Linked DNA regions of Drosophila melanogaster. The gene in region 2 interacts genetically with the main gene of each other region. Each region holds a gene or a part of one and is shown on either strand. Other genes may lie near its edges.

Region 1 (5,914 bases), on a different chromosome or scaffold from region 2:
CGCATGTCGCCAAATGTCTTCAATCCTCTGGCATTCCGGCCTCAAGTCAGCTTTGGAAGATTTGTCGCCTATTTTGTGTGTGCCTCGCAGCGATTTCTTTCGCAGATTCGTCTGGTTTTTTGGCCATGGCCAATTTGTATTTGGCCATGCCAGCGCACAAAACAGACCTGTTCAAGTGTTTGCCAATCTCCGATTGGCTTGACTGAAGTTTTCACTGAAAATTTGTAGTGGGAAAAAGTCACTTTACTGAGTTGATCCTTAAGCTTTATTTAAATAGAAAACTTTAAAATGTAAGTAATAAATTTAAATTAAATTTGTGTAAAGCTTAACTAACAACAATATGAACTTGCCAAAAACAAAAAAACAATTACTTGTTGAAGATTTGGTGCATCATTGGCATTTACAATTTCCTAGCGATTTAGTTAATTTTAAAAGTGATTTAAAAAGTATATCTTCCAAATCTCTTATTGATAGAATTAAAATTCGGGAAATTCTATATCCTGAGTACAATTTGTTTAAGTCCGTCTTGAAAGTAAGCCAACCAACTCTGTTCATAATTAGATTAAAGTTTCTTGCTCTCCGCTCCGTATCGCTTCAAGTGGCCACAATTTGAGGCAGATTGCGCTCTAATAAATATGGGCAGCCATCTAAGCTAATGCCCCAACTCATCACCGAGTTGAGAGATGAGCACGCAAGCAGGCGAGATACGCATGCGCCCGTTGCCAAGGCCCAAACTTAATTAAAAATTTGGAGAGAGCGGAGGGAAAATTTCAGATTGCCCACGAGCTGAAGAAATTTTAATATGACGACCAAATTGCACCGCAGCAGCTCCAGGAGCTGCATCGCCACTTGGCAGATTATGACGACAACTATACTGACAGGCAGAGCCAGAGGAAACTACTCCAAGAAACTAGCCAGATTCAGTTGCAGTCGCAATCGGAGTCTCCGTTCCAGTTCATGGCTAAATGCTTTTGGCTGTGATAAATTACACGTCGTTTTAGAGTGTTGCGCTTCCTTGTTACTCCGTCAAGTGGTGTTGACACGGCCGCGGCGAATGCAGAGTATTAAACGATCTCCGCCGTGGCACTCTTCTTCCGTCCAGTGGTGTTATTAAAATGAAATCATCATCATCACCAAGTGACAGAAGCCGGGAGTCTGAGCCTGAGCCTGAGCCTGAGTCTAAGTCTGAGCTGAGATGAGTTGAGATGGAGGGACAGACAACGACTGGTCAAATGCCCGGGGATCACTTTAGTGGGCATCTCGGCGCACGAAGGCAGTCATCTGATCATGCTTATGACAGGAGAATTCAATTAGACATATGGAAACGCGTTGATTGTTCCACTGGCAATTTTGCGCCTGGTGGCAATCCGATTTAAGCAGCACAGAACTAGCATTGATTATTTTGCAATTGTTGTTGAAGTACCGTATCGAATGTATTTAAATGGATACCATTTAGCCCTAATAAAATTGATTCCTTGTTAAACAATCTCATGCAACTTTTATTTTATTTACGCTCACAAGAATATAGCTTTATATATACCATTAGTGGCAGAATTTTGTATTCAACCTAAAAGAATTCTGCAGTGCCCCCAGATAGAATAAACCAACATCTATGCATATGTTTTCCATGTGGTCATCTCCAATCGTTATCAATCCGACAAAGATTCACATAAAAATATTTAAATATACGAAAGACTAGGGAGGCGAACTTGTTTTCTCCATTTTGCAGGTCAAGCCACAAATAACCTCTGATGTTTTCTTGGTTTCTCCCAATGTTTGTTTACACTGATCGCCGGGCATTAAGTGCCCACCTCCTTGCCACATTAGTCGTCCAATACGAGTTCAATTGGATGCACATGCACAACGAAGCAAACCAGGGCCAACACTCTCGCGGCCAATACACTCAAATGATAACAGTACCGTGTGTAGAGTCAAACGGGGGTAAAAAGACATCAGCCAACAGCCAACCGCATCGACACAGTATTCAATGGAAACGAACGAAACGCTTGGAGATCGTGCCGGTGCCAACAGCCAACCACAGTTCAGCTCTCAGAAGATGCGACGCTTTAACATTTACGGAGAGCGGAGAGTCGCGAACCGAGCTGGAAACGTACAGCAAACATGTTCGAAGCGAGGTCGGTAGCAGGGTGCACTTGGAGAAAAATGTTAGCACTCTTAATATACATAAATGCGTTTTGACTTATTTCAGTTAGCGTTGTAGAAACAAAAAACTGCATTTTTTCAGGGTACTAACTTGTCAATAATATCTTTAATATATTATTTAATAATATATATTTAATATAATTGTTTTAAAATTCTCCCGAAAATAACAAATCTTGTTTCGTTAACAGTTCAGTCAACAGATCTTACCGCCATAACATTGCTGTTAAACCGGCAGAACGGAGCACGCGCACCATTCGCCACAGCAGCTGTTTGCCAAACAGGATTTCCTGCAGCGACGGCCGCCGATTAACAGTTAAGTTTCGCCGTGCCCTGCCACTGTTGCAAACGCACGCACACAATCTAGCGACGCGTGCGCTTTGTTGTCTTGTTGCCGCTGCTGTTGCTGTTAGTGCTGCTGTTCGTGCTGCCGCGCTGCAGATGCTGCTGCTGCTGGGGTAAGATGATCTTTGAGGCCAGGGCCGCGCTGCCAGTTCGAGTCTGTTTGGCGCTCAGAACGACGGCGACGATTTAGTCTCGGATGGACGCTACGCTGCCAAGCACCGTCAGTCAGGCTTTCGCTGTTCTCTCGCTCTCGCAATCGCATTATATCCGACCGATCGCGAAGTTTTTCGGCACTATGTGCGCCACGTGATTGCTGAAATCTCCTTCGAAAGCCGTCGCTATATCATCAGCGATAATTCGGATTTAAGGTGTCATGTGAAGAGTGTGTTTGATATAATCAGTTGATTTTCATTCAAACGTATCCCAGTGTGTGAAGTTAAAAAAAAAACTGGAAAAATTAACATCTAAAGAGGAAAAAATAAATAAATAGTGAGTTGGTAAAAACATCGAATTTATGCTGTTGTGGAAATATATGATCTGGAAAAGGTAAGATTTTGTTGTATATGAGCTTATGCTATTAAAAAATGGCTAAGTCTCCCTGCTGACAAACAAAACATATTAAGAGAATAAATAAAACATTTATTCATTGAATTAATGAGACAACAACAAGTTGAGATGCTGGACACATAATTCAAACGCTAAAACAATAGATAAATACAAGCAATATATATATTAAAGGCTTAATTGAATAAAAACCATTTTGCATAATTTCCATAAATTTGTCGGATGGTTGTTGTAAGTCAAAATAAATCGCAAATAAAAGATTAATACCGAAAACAATTGCATTATAAAAACCAAACCAATTAAAGACTGAAATTATACAATTTAATAATATTTTTAGCAATAATTGAAATACTTAGTACAAACTATTAAAATCAAAACAAAAAACCAACAATAAAAAGACAAATCTGTTGCGAAGAAATGGCCCAACTATCCCCAGCTATCAAGGACCAAGCTTAACTCCCATGAGTTCGTACTCACACCACTAAGGAGGACCAAGGAGAACCAGAAAAAGTGTAATGGTGAAGACAAAAGAAGCTCATTGACATGCTCATTAATAATGTTATTGCCTTTTGTGCGATAAGTGTCAAGAAATTTCTACAATAGGGGCTGCGAATGGACAAAGATGGGAGATATTCAAACATTTAATTGTCCAACTGCTGTCGGCAATCAAGCAGAAAAGGGCCAGGGGCAGCCTGAAGCGACTGGATCGTGGATCCTCGATCGCGAAGGAAGAAGGATCAAGGATGGAGGATGGAGGATGGAGGATGGAGGATGGAGGATGGAGGATGGAGGATGGAGGATGGAGGATCGCAGATCAAGAATTGCGGAAGCAGACAATTCAAACTAGAGCGTGTGACTGCTGAGTGGATTTGCATACTGCGAATGTCCGTCTCCAGTGGTTGGCAGGGCTAATAATAAAGCATATTACCGGCAATTGTGCGCGAGATGGAAGGCGATTCGGGTGTAGGAAGGGTTTGGGCTTGGGTTTGGGTTTGGGTTAGGGCTTGGACTTGGATTTGGATTGCAGATTGTGTCAATGCTCCGGGGTTCGGTTCAGTGGGCTGTGTTCTTGATTCTTGTTCTATTTTGTAGCGGCTTCAAAATATTTGAGACAATCGTGGTTTGCTTGTTTGAACACCTTTTCTCCCTCTGTTGCCTTTATCAGATTTGGCATTGTCCATCATTTTGTTTGCTTTAAAGGACACATTTTTTTGGGACCTTGTTTATTATTCCTATTGAGAGAAGTCCAACGTTCTGCCCACTTTTTTTCAGCTCTGTCAACAGCGAGTTGATGAGCTTGTTGAGAATGTGGCAGCGACCAACTGATCTGGTTCTTATTGTCTAAGCCGCTCTGAACTTGTCCCCATCGAGTTCATCTGCAGATCTCCATAGATTAGATCCGAACAATCTCCTCCACTTGGCTTGCGATCAATATACAGTTGTAGTTTCTGTAGCAGTTTAGGTTTCTAATTAATTGTCTGTTTCTGCCCAATGTGTAACATTAATCTTGGCTTAATCGATAAGTCTGACAGCCAAGATCGTTCCTATATCTGGTCTGATCTGTTCGGTTCGATATACACTCAGAAATGAACAATGGGGATTCTGTTTTTAAATTTGAAAGGAACCTGCAGAGTCAAATATTTCGAATTGGCACAACCAAAGACACTAGAATGTCTTTGGCACAACTCTCGTCTACTCATTGTTTTCCCACAAATCGAACTGGCCATCGGACCTAAGCATTGCATTCACCTTAAATTTGGGCTCGGCTTGAGGACTTGTAATTAGCTCGAAGCATGGGAATTATGTACTCCTCCATGACATCTACTACTTCTATGCGCTGACTTAAAGGGGTCCTAAAGATGCCCCAAGAACAAGACTCTCAAATATGCGCCCGGTTACGTGGATCAGTGGCCTTGGTCGTTGTCGTCGTGATAAAGCCAAAAAGATTGAGATGCCGCCTGCGGATAGGGATCTGCAAGTTTATAGCTCGAGCGTGCCGCTCAATTGGATTTCAATCGGGTTTCTCAATAAGGATCGAAATGATTTTTGACTTTTTGGTTCTTTATCTACGAAGTTCAGGTACGGCGAGATGTATTGCAATTTACAGCACTTCTATGCATATTAAGTGCATAAATATTTAGTTTTATGAGTGCTTATTTATGAAAGCAGTGCAGCAGTAATATAGGTTGTTCCCAATGTCGAAGGTAAATGCACCTATTTGATGTAATTATACTCATTTTTCGGCTAACACGATGCTTATGAATCCATTTCCCCAAAACTCCTCCATTCAGAGATCTTCTTTCTAGCTGAGTGCAATCTGGCTTACCACTCCAGCTCCACCACGAACTGCGGTTCTGAGTCTTTGGGACCCAGAGATGGAAGATCTCCTCGATGATTTTCCTGCTTTCTGAAAAAGTGCACCGCTGTGCCGAAAATTGTCACGGTTTCGCGGTCGATGGCTCGCTTGCTGTGAAGGTGCAAATTTAATGTTTGCCAATTTAGCAGCGCTCTGCTGTCACCTTTGGTGTCCATTAGCGAGCGTTTATATGCAAAGTGCCGAGCATTGGCAGGCCAGCTCCGGATCTGGCAGCCGGCGGGCTTTGGACGGGGCCAACCATTATCACAGAAGCAGCATCACGTTGTGGCCACACCACCTGCTGGGCGCATTTCGCGGAGCAGCTCCCTGCCACTTGCATCCCTGGTCCGGAAAATATCCAGACTGGGAAAACTCTGGGGAGCACTTAAGCTTGCTAGCTGGCTGTCATTGGAGGGAGTCAGGGCGTTCTGTGGCAGTTCTGGTTCTCAAAAGGGCCAACGAGAATTACGAAGATCCTGATGGTTACAG
Region 2 (5,453 bases):
ATTGACCCCACCAGAATTGCATATCCTCCTCCAGTTACATCCCTCCCCGAGCTCCTACAGCTCCTCACCGAAAAAACTCCTTTGCACAAAGCATTTCCAATGCAATTTGCGAACCTTTTTCTCACCAAGCTCGACTCAGATTTGCTCCGAGCTAAGCACCACGAACGAATATAAACGGGCCGAAAAAACTTTTCGGAAAATCCAGCAGTAACGCCTTCTCGAAAAACGAATAACCATTTTCCAGGCACTGCATTGCATTGCATTGCATGCAAAAATGTGGCCAACAGCAACGGCTTTAAACGCCAACTGGCATAACTGCAACATTTCGGATGCAAGTTTGCATTTTACGCGGCTGCCAGGCTTAATTTTCCTTTATTTTTAATATCGCAGCCGAGCAACGGCAACAAAATGTACATAAAACCCACGGCTATATCAAGTACGGCCAGCACCGAGATATACCCACATATACACACTGTTCACTGGACTGGACTGGCTGACAGGCTGGGTCTCCAGATCTCCAGGAAGCAAGAAATAACAAAAATCTTTGCGTAGGCAAAACTTGGCTCCGACTACCCAGCTGACCATGTCCAAGTCGCCTTTCAGCCATTCAAACTTCCAGACTTCCAGACCGATGTCTCTCTGGGCTCTGCGTTCTGGGTTCTGGCCGTCGTCGTAAGCCTGTTGTTTTAAATAATTAATTATTGTTTGGCTGGCAAATAGTCGACTGGAGATCGAATGCTCTTAGGAAAGGCGTACTGAAGCCACGGCTAGTTGCAATTAGAAGTAAATACTTTTCCCCAAGGAGTGGCTATGTGTTTTCTAAGGAATTCGATCCAAATTGATTTTTTTATTAGAAGTAAAACTACATATTACTGAAAACCTATCACTCCCGTCCTAGTCCGTATTTTCGAATATTCCTAGAAGTACGTCGCTATCCGCTAGACCTTTCGCCAGTCGACTTGCAACACCTCCACCCACATTGGCCCGACTTTCAATCACATTCCTGCCCCAAACTGTGTGCCAACGTATCGGTGCTAGCTATGGCATGGATACTATCCCATAAGACCCCTCATTATCTAGCCTGCAGCTGGGAGCAAATGGGAGATCTCGTTGAGTGCCGGGCGATTGGTAGGGCAATCATGTGATTGAACAAATAACATGCTACGGAGCTGCCACAGCACTTGACTTCATTTCTTTCGCCCGGGAAAGTAGGAAAACTAAGCCAGAGACCGCTACTTAGCCCAATTTTCGCATAATGCACATGAGAAAATTGCACAAGAGCCGAAAGGCTTTTGCCAGGCGGGCACCCAAAAAAAAAAAACACAAAAACACAAAAAATGCCAACATAAACGGCCAAGACAAAGGAAAGGATAGACTGCCACCCCCGGAGTCAAAACGAAAAAAAAAAAAAAAAAAACAGAAAGAAGTGCAGTCAGTCCAGTTAGCTGGAAAAACGCTCCCCAGAGTGGCATTAGAAGGTTGCCAAGGCTGTCAACCCTGCAACTTTGTGTTGAGGGCGATAATTTTTATGACCCCGACAGATTCTCAAGCCGACTGCGATTGACCCACCACCCAAAAGCTGGGCTGCTAACTGGATCTCGCTGGTCACACACCACCAGAAGTGAGGAACAAAATCCTGTCGTGTGCCGGTGCAGATAATTTTATACAATTTATTATATCAAACGGGCGACGTCGCGTGCAACACTTGCCACGTCACATCGGCCATTTCGGGATGGGGACACTGAGATACAGATACTTGGTGCTGCAACACACAGCCTCAGGTTGCGTGTTCAAGTGTTTACTGAAATCCGAATTCAAAAATCCCAATCCCAATCCGAATCCGAGTTGCGTGTGTCCATGGACGATATCAGTGGACTGGGCGTCGTTGGTTTGGCATTAAAAAGCGTTTAATAAGCATTAGATTACAACATTCTCAGCGTTGCAAGGGGTGTGACGACTTAAGCTCATTTAGATATATGTTTTATCGGCGGAGGTATAGAGCCATGAAATCGCCAAAGGGTCTAATTTAAAAGCGTTGCTTAACTCCCATTCCTTAAACCGCCAACCTCAAACCATTTCGCTTTAGTTTTCTTTTTGAACTTGCCATCTCGACCACAAAAGCCACAAACTCGATTCTTTGTTTGATTTTCCTGTAATCAGTTGCGAGATTGGAGCGGGAAACTACACTCGGTTGATTAGTCTTTCGAACTCATTACTCATTTATCTAAAGTTCGGTTTTGGTTTTGGTTAGTGATCTTTCCCGAGATCCTCCCTAAGGGGTTTACAATTTCTGTGTTTCGATTTACCCTCATCCAACTGAGTTTCCACATATGCATTTTTTTTTCACTTTTCTCGGGTTCGATGTGTAATACGATCTGTGTATTCTTTGGAAGTTGTATTTAGTTTTCCCAAATGTGATCCCTAAGTGGGTTCAGTGGGTTAGCATTTGTTTTTTGGTGTTCGTTATGTGGTGATAAGGAATAATGAGGAATTAGCAGCATTGTTCTTAAAAGTATCCATACTAATAGATACTTCTTAACCTTCCCTAACCTGCAGAGAACTTCTGAGAGATCTCTGGAATTACGATACCGATTGCAATGCCCTGCCAAAGCCCAAACATCCAGCTATGCCCATCCAAAAGTCGCCCCATTATGTGCATCTCTAATGAGAATCGGGAGAGAGAGGCATGAATAATGGGTCTATGGGCAGAGTCGATGTCGCGTTGTCTATAAAGCGGCCTTAAAATCCATTAGCGAACGTTGCAGGCATAAATAAACCGCAGTGCCTTAATTTCACTTTGTTGTTCGGTCGGGCCGCGTGTGTTGCAACCAAAAATAGCCAAAAGACGGAGTCGACCAACAAAAAAACGTAAATGGAAACAAATGACGCTAATAAATAAATGGGGAGTGCAGCGACATGAGGAGGCAACTCATATGCGGCCGCGAAGGATTTTCCCTGGCTCTGGGAGGAAATAGTTTGTCATAATGCCCTTCAAACTAAAACAGAGATCCCACAATGCAACCCTGCGAATGCAACTCTGGAGATGGACGCATCTTGCATCTGTTGACACTTACCCTTGAGCGCTCCGACTTGAGTTAATCCGTTTAATCCCGCGAGGAGCAGCAGCAGTGGGAATACTGCGCGTCGACTCCGATCGACTGGCATTATTTTTAGCCGCTCCCCATGAAAATCTCGATTGTTTCTGTGTCGGCGTTTGATCTCGCTGGCAGTTTTATTTTTGATTTTGCTTTTGATTTTAATTTGAATTTCGCTTTCGTTGGTTAAACACTGAGGTTGCAACCGCAGCGGCATTCCACGCATCTCGCACAAATGCATTTTGTCAAGTATTCTCGTTTCGCCTCCTTAATTGCACACCATTTAAAATAGATTTGCACTCATTTCTCGATACGCGCAATCTTTCGGATCTTCTGTTTTGGCACACACAGTATTTCTGTTCCTCCGAGTTAGTTATTCGCTAGCATCTGAATCCATGGCGGCGCCACTAAGTCCGTTTCCCGGAACGACGACGCGCGTAACCCGACGAATCGAACGGATACGGATATATGGACTGTATCTGCATCCGCAGCACATGCGAACCGGCTGACAATCGAAATGCGACTGAGGAACGAATTCTCGTTTCGCCTCGGAGCCGCCACCCGAAGTCCACTTCGGCTACTGCTTCGTGTCTGTGTATCCGAGTACCATCTAGTATCTGTATCGCTTCGTGCGCTGTTCCGCGTTCCAGTTCGTCCCGCTTGTTGCATGCTGTGGAACGCGTTGGAACTTTGTTTACTTTTACTGCAAGACGGTTTGTTTTGTTCCGTCTTCACTCGTTTCGATCCACGTGCCCTAGGTTTATCGTCGAGTCGTGCAACATTTCGGGTGGTGGTGCATCATCATGTTGCTATTGAGTGGATGTGAATTGTTGGAATATGTATCTGACTTCCAGGACTAGATGGGGATTTCTTTGCAGCACAACACATAGTCATGTATTTATTGGCTTTTTTTATGAATAATCTGCATCATTTGCTAATACAAAAAAATCTACATTCAAACGGACTTTAACACCATGCCACATCCATTTCCAAGTCCAACTTGTTTATCTCCAGCTCTTTTCCATTTTTATTCGATCATTCAAGCTCTTTTTCACGTTGTCAAGCCAACAAATTGCCAACCTTTGTGCCGCTCAGCCTCAATAGTTTCCATCCGAATCCGAAAACATTTCGAGCTCGGATAATCCCTACTTGTTGCGCTTTATTGCCCTCCAGCTCCACCGTGTCCGCTCAACCCTTCGCCGGCGCAGAGAGTCGAAAGAGCCCCTCCAAAGGGGCGACCATTTCATATCTAATCTGCTCGAGTGCCCCACTCACTCTCCAGCTGTTAGCTCATCTATTTCCAAACTGCAATAAAGCCAGACACAGTTCTAGACGATCCGTTTCACAATGCGATGAATAGAAATCAAAGTGGAGACCCGTTCTTGGACACTGTCCCAATATCTAGACGCCTCTGCGCGCTAATGAATTTCGAAATCAATTGAATGGCCAGCTAGACGATATTGTATTAATTTATCAAAGTGCATATCCGAAAGGGCTTTCCTCTATAAATCGCTGCCTAATTTCCCAGCGTTTGTTAAATAATCAATAACTTTTCCTCCAGGTAGAGTTCTTCGGACGAGTGTGAAGTCAGTTCATTAATGCCGGTGCTCAGAAAATACAGATACAGATACATTCGACGGGCAGAGAAGTGTAAAATAAAGGTGTGTATCTTTCCTATAAAGGAACTATGCGTGCATTTAGGAGCGGGCAGGTGTGGATTCCCTTTCCCCCTCCACTTCCCCTTTTCAGAGTGCAACACAATGTGCATTGTCTCTGCGAGAAAGAAAGGTCAAAGTGCGTACGGCGTATGTGAGTTTGTTGCCTTCTCAAGTCCCTCGTTTCTTCGATTCTCCGATCCCGACTCTCGAATCCCGATTCCCACTGCCGCTCACCTTTTATAGAGGCGAAGAATCCAGGTAGAGGAAAGAGAGAATTCGTGGCAGGTAAACCATATTTCAAATGCTGATAATTGGCCAATTTACAGCCAGGGCGAGTTGCTCTGCTTGAAAGGCGAGATATCTGAGCCCGGTTGCCACGCTTCATTAGCACTCAAGTGAAGTTGGGCAACGCTGCAAGTATATACGATAATATATAATATATAGATACCTTATGTCCTTTACCTTACCAAAGTAAATCCAATGTGCTAACTATCCGATGGATTCAAGCATGGATTTTTGATCTATGCCCGCAACACCCAAAATATTTACTCCTTAAGCTGGCCCGATTAAACCTGCCAACCCATGACCTTACCAAAACAGAGGGCCAAGAAGTTTGGCAACACTGGACTGCACTCTGAGTTATCTAGGCTGAAATGTTGACACTGCCTTTGTCATGTTTGGGCCTCTCGCCCTCTCTTTC

Evidence for each region. Genes that interact genetically often act in the same process or in processes that back each other up.
Region 1: of robo2 (region 2) and eg, changing one suppresses a phenotype caused by changing the other (phenotypic suppression), as found in Drosophila melanogaster (one study listed by BioGRID).

The regions. Positions count from the first base shown.
Region 1 is NT_037436.4:21,806,187-21,812,100, forward strand, and holds the start of eg (eagle), read left to right. Parts: upstream 1-2,516; 5' UTR 2,517-2,618; intron 2,619-2,652; exon of another isoform or gene 2,653-3,051; intron 3,052-5,914.
Region 2 is NT_033779.5:1,416,830-1,422,282, forward strand, and holds the start of robo2 (roundabout 2), read right to left. Parts: upstream 3,625-5,453; 5' UTR 3,337-3,624; coding exon 3,075-3,336; intron 1-3,074.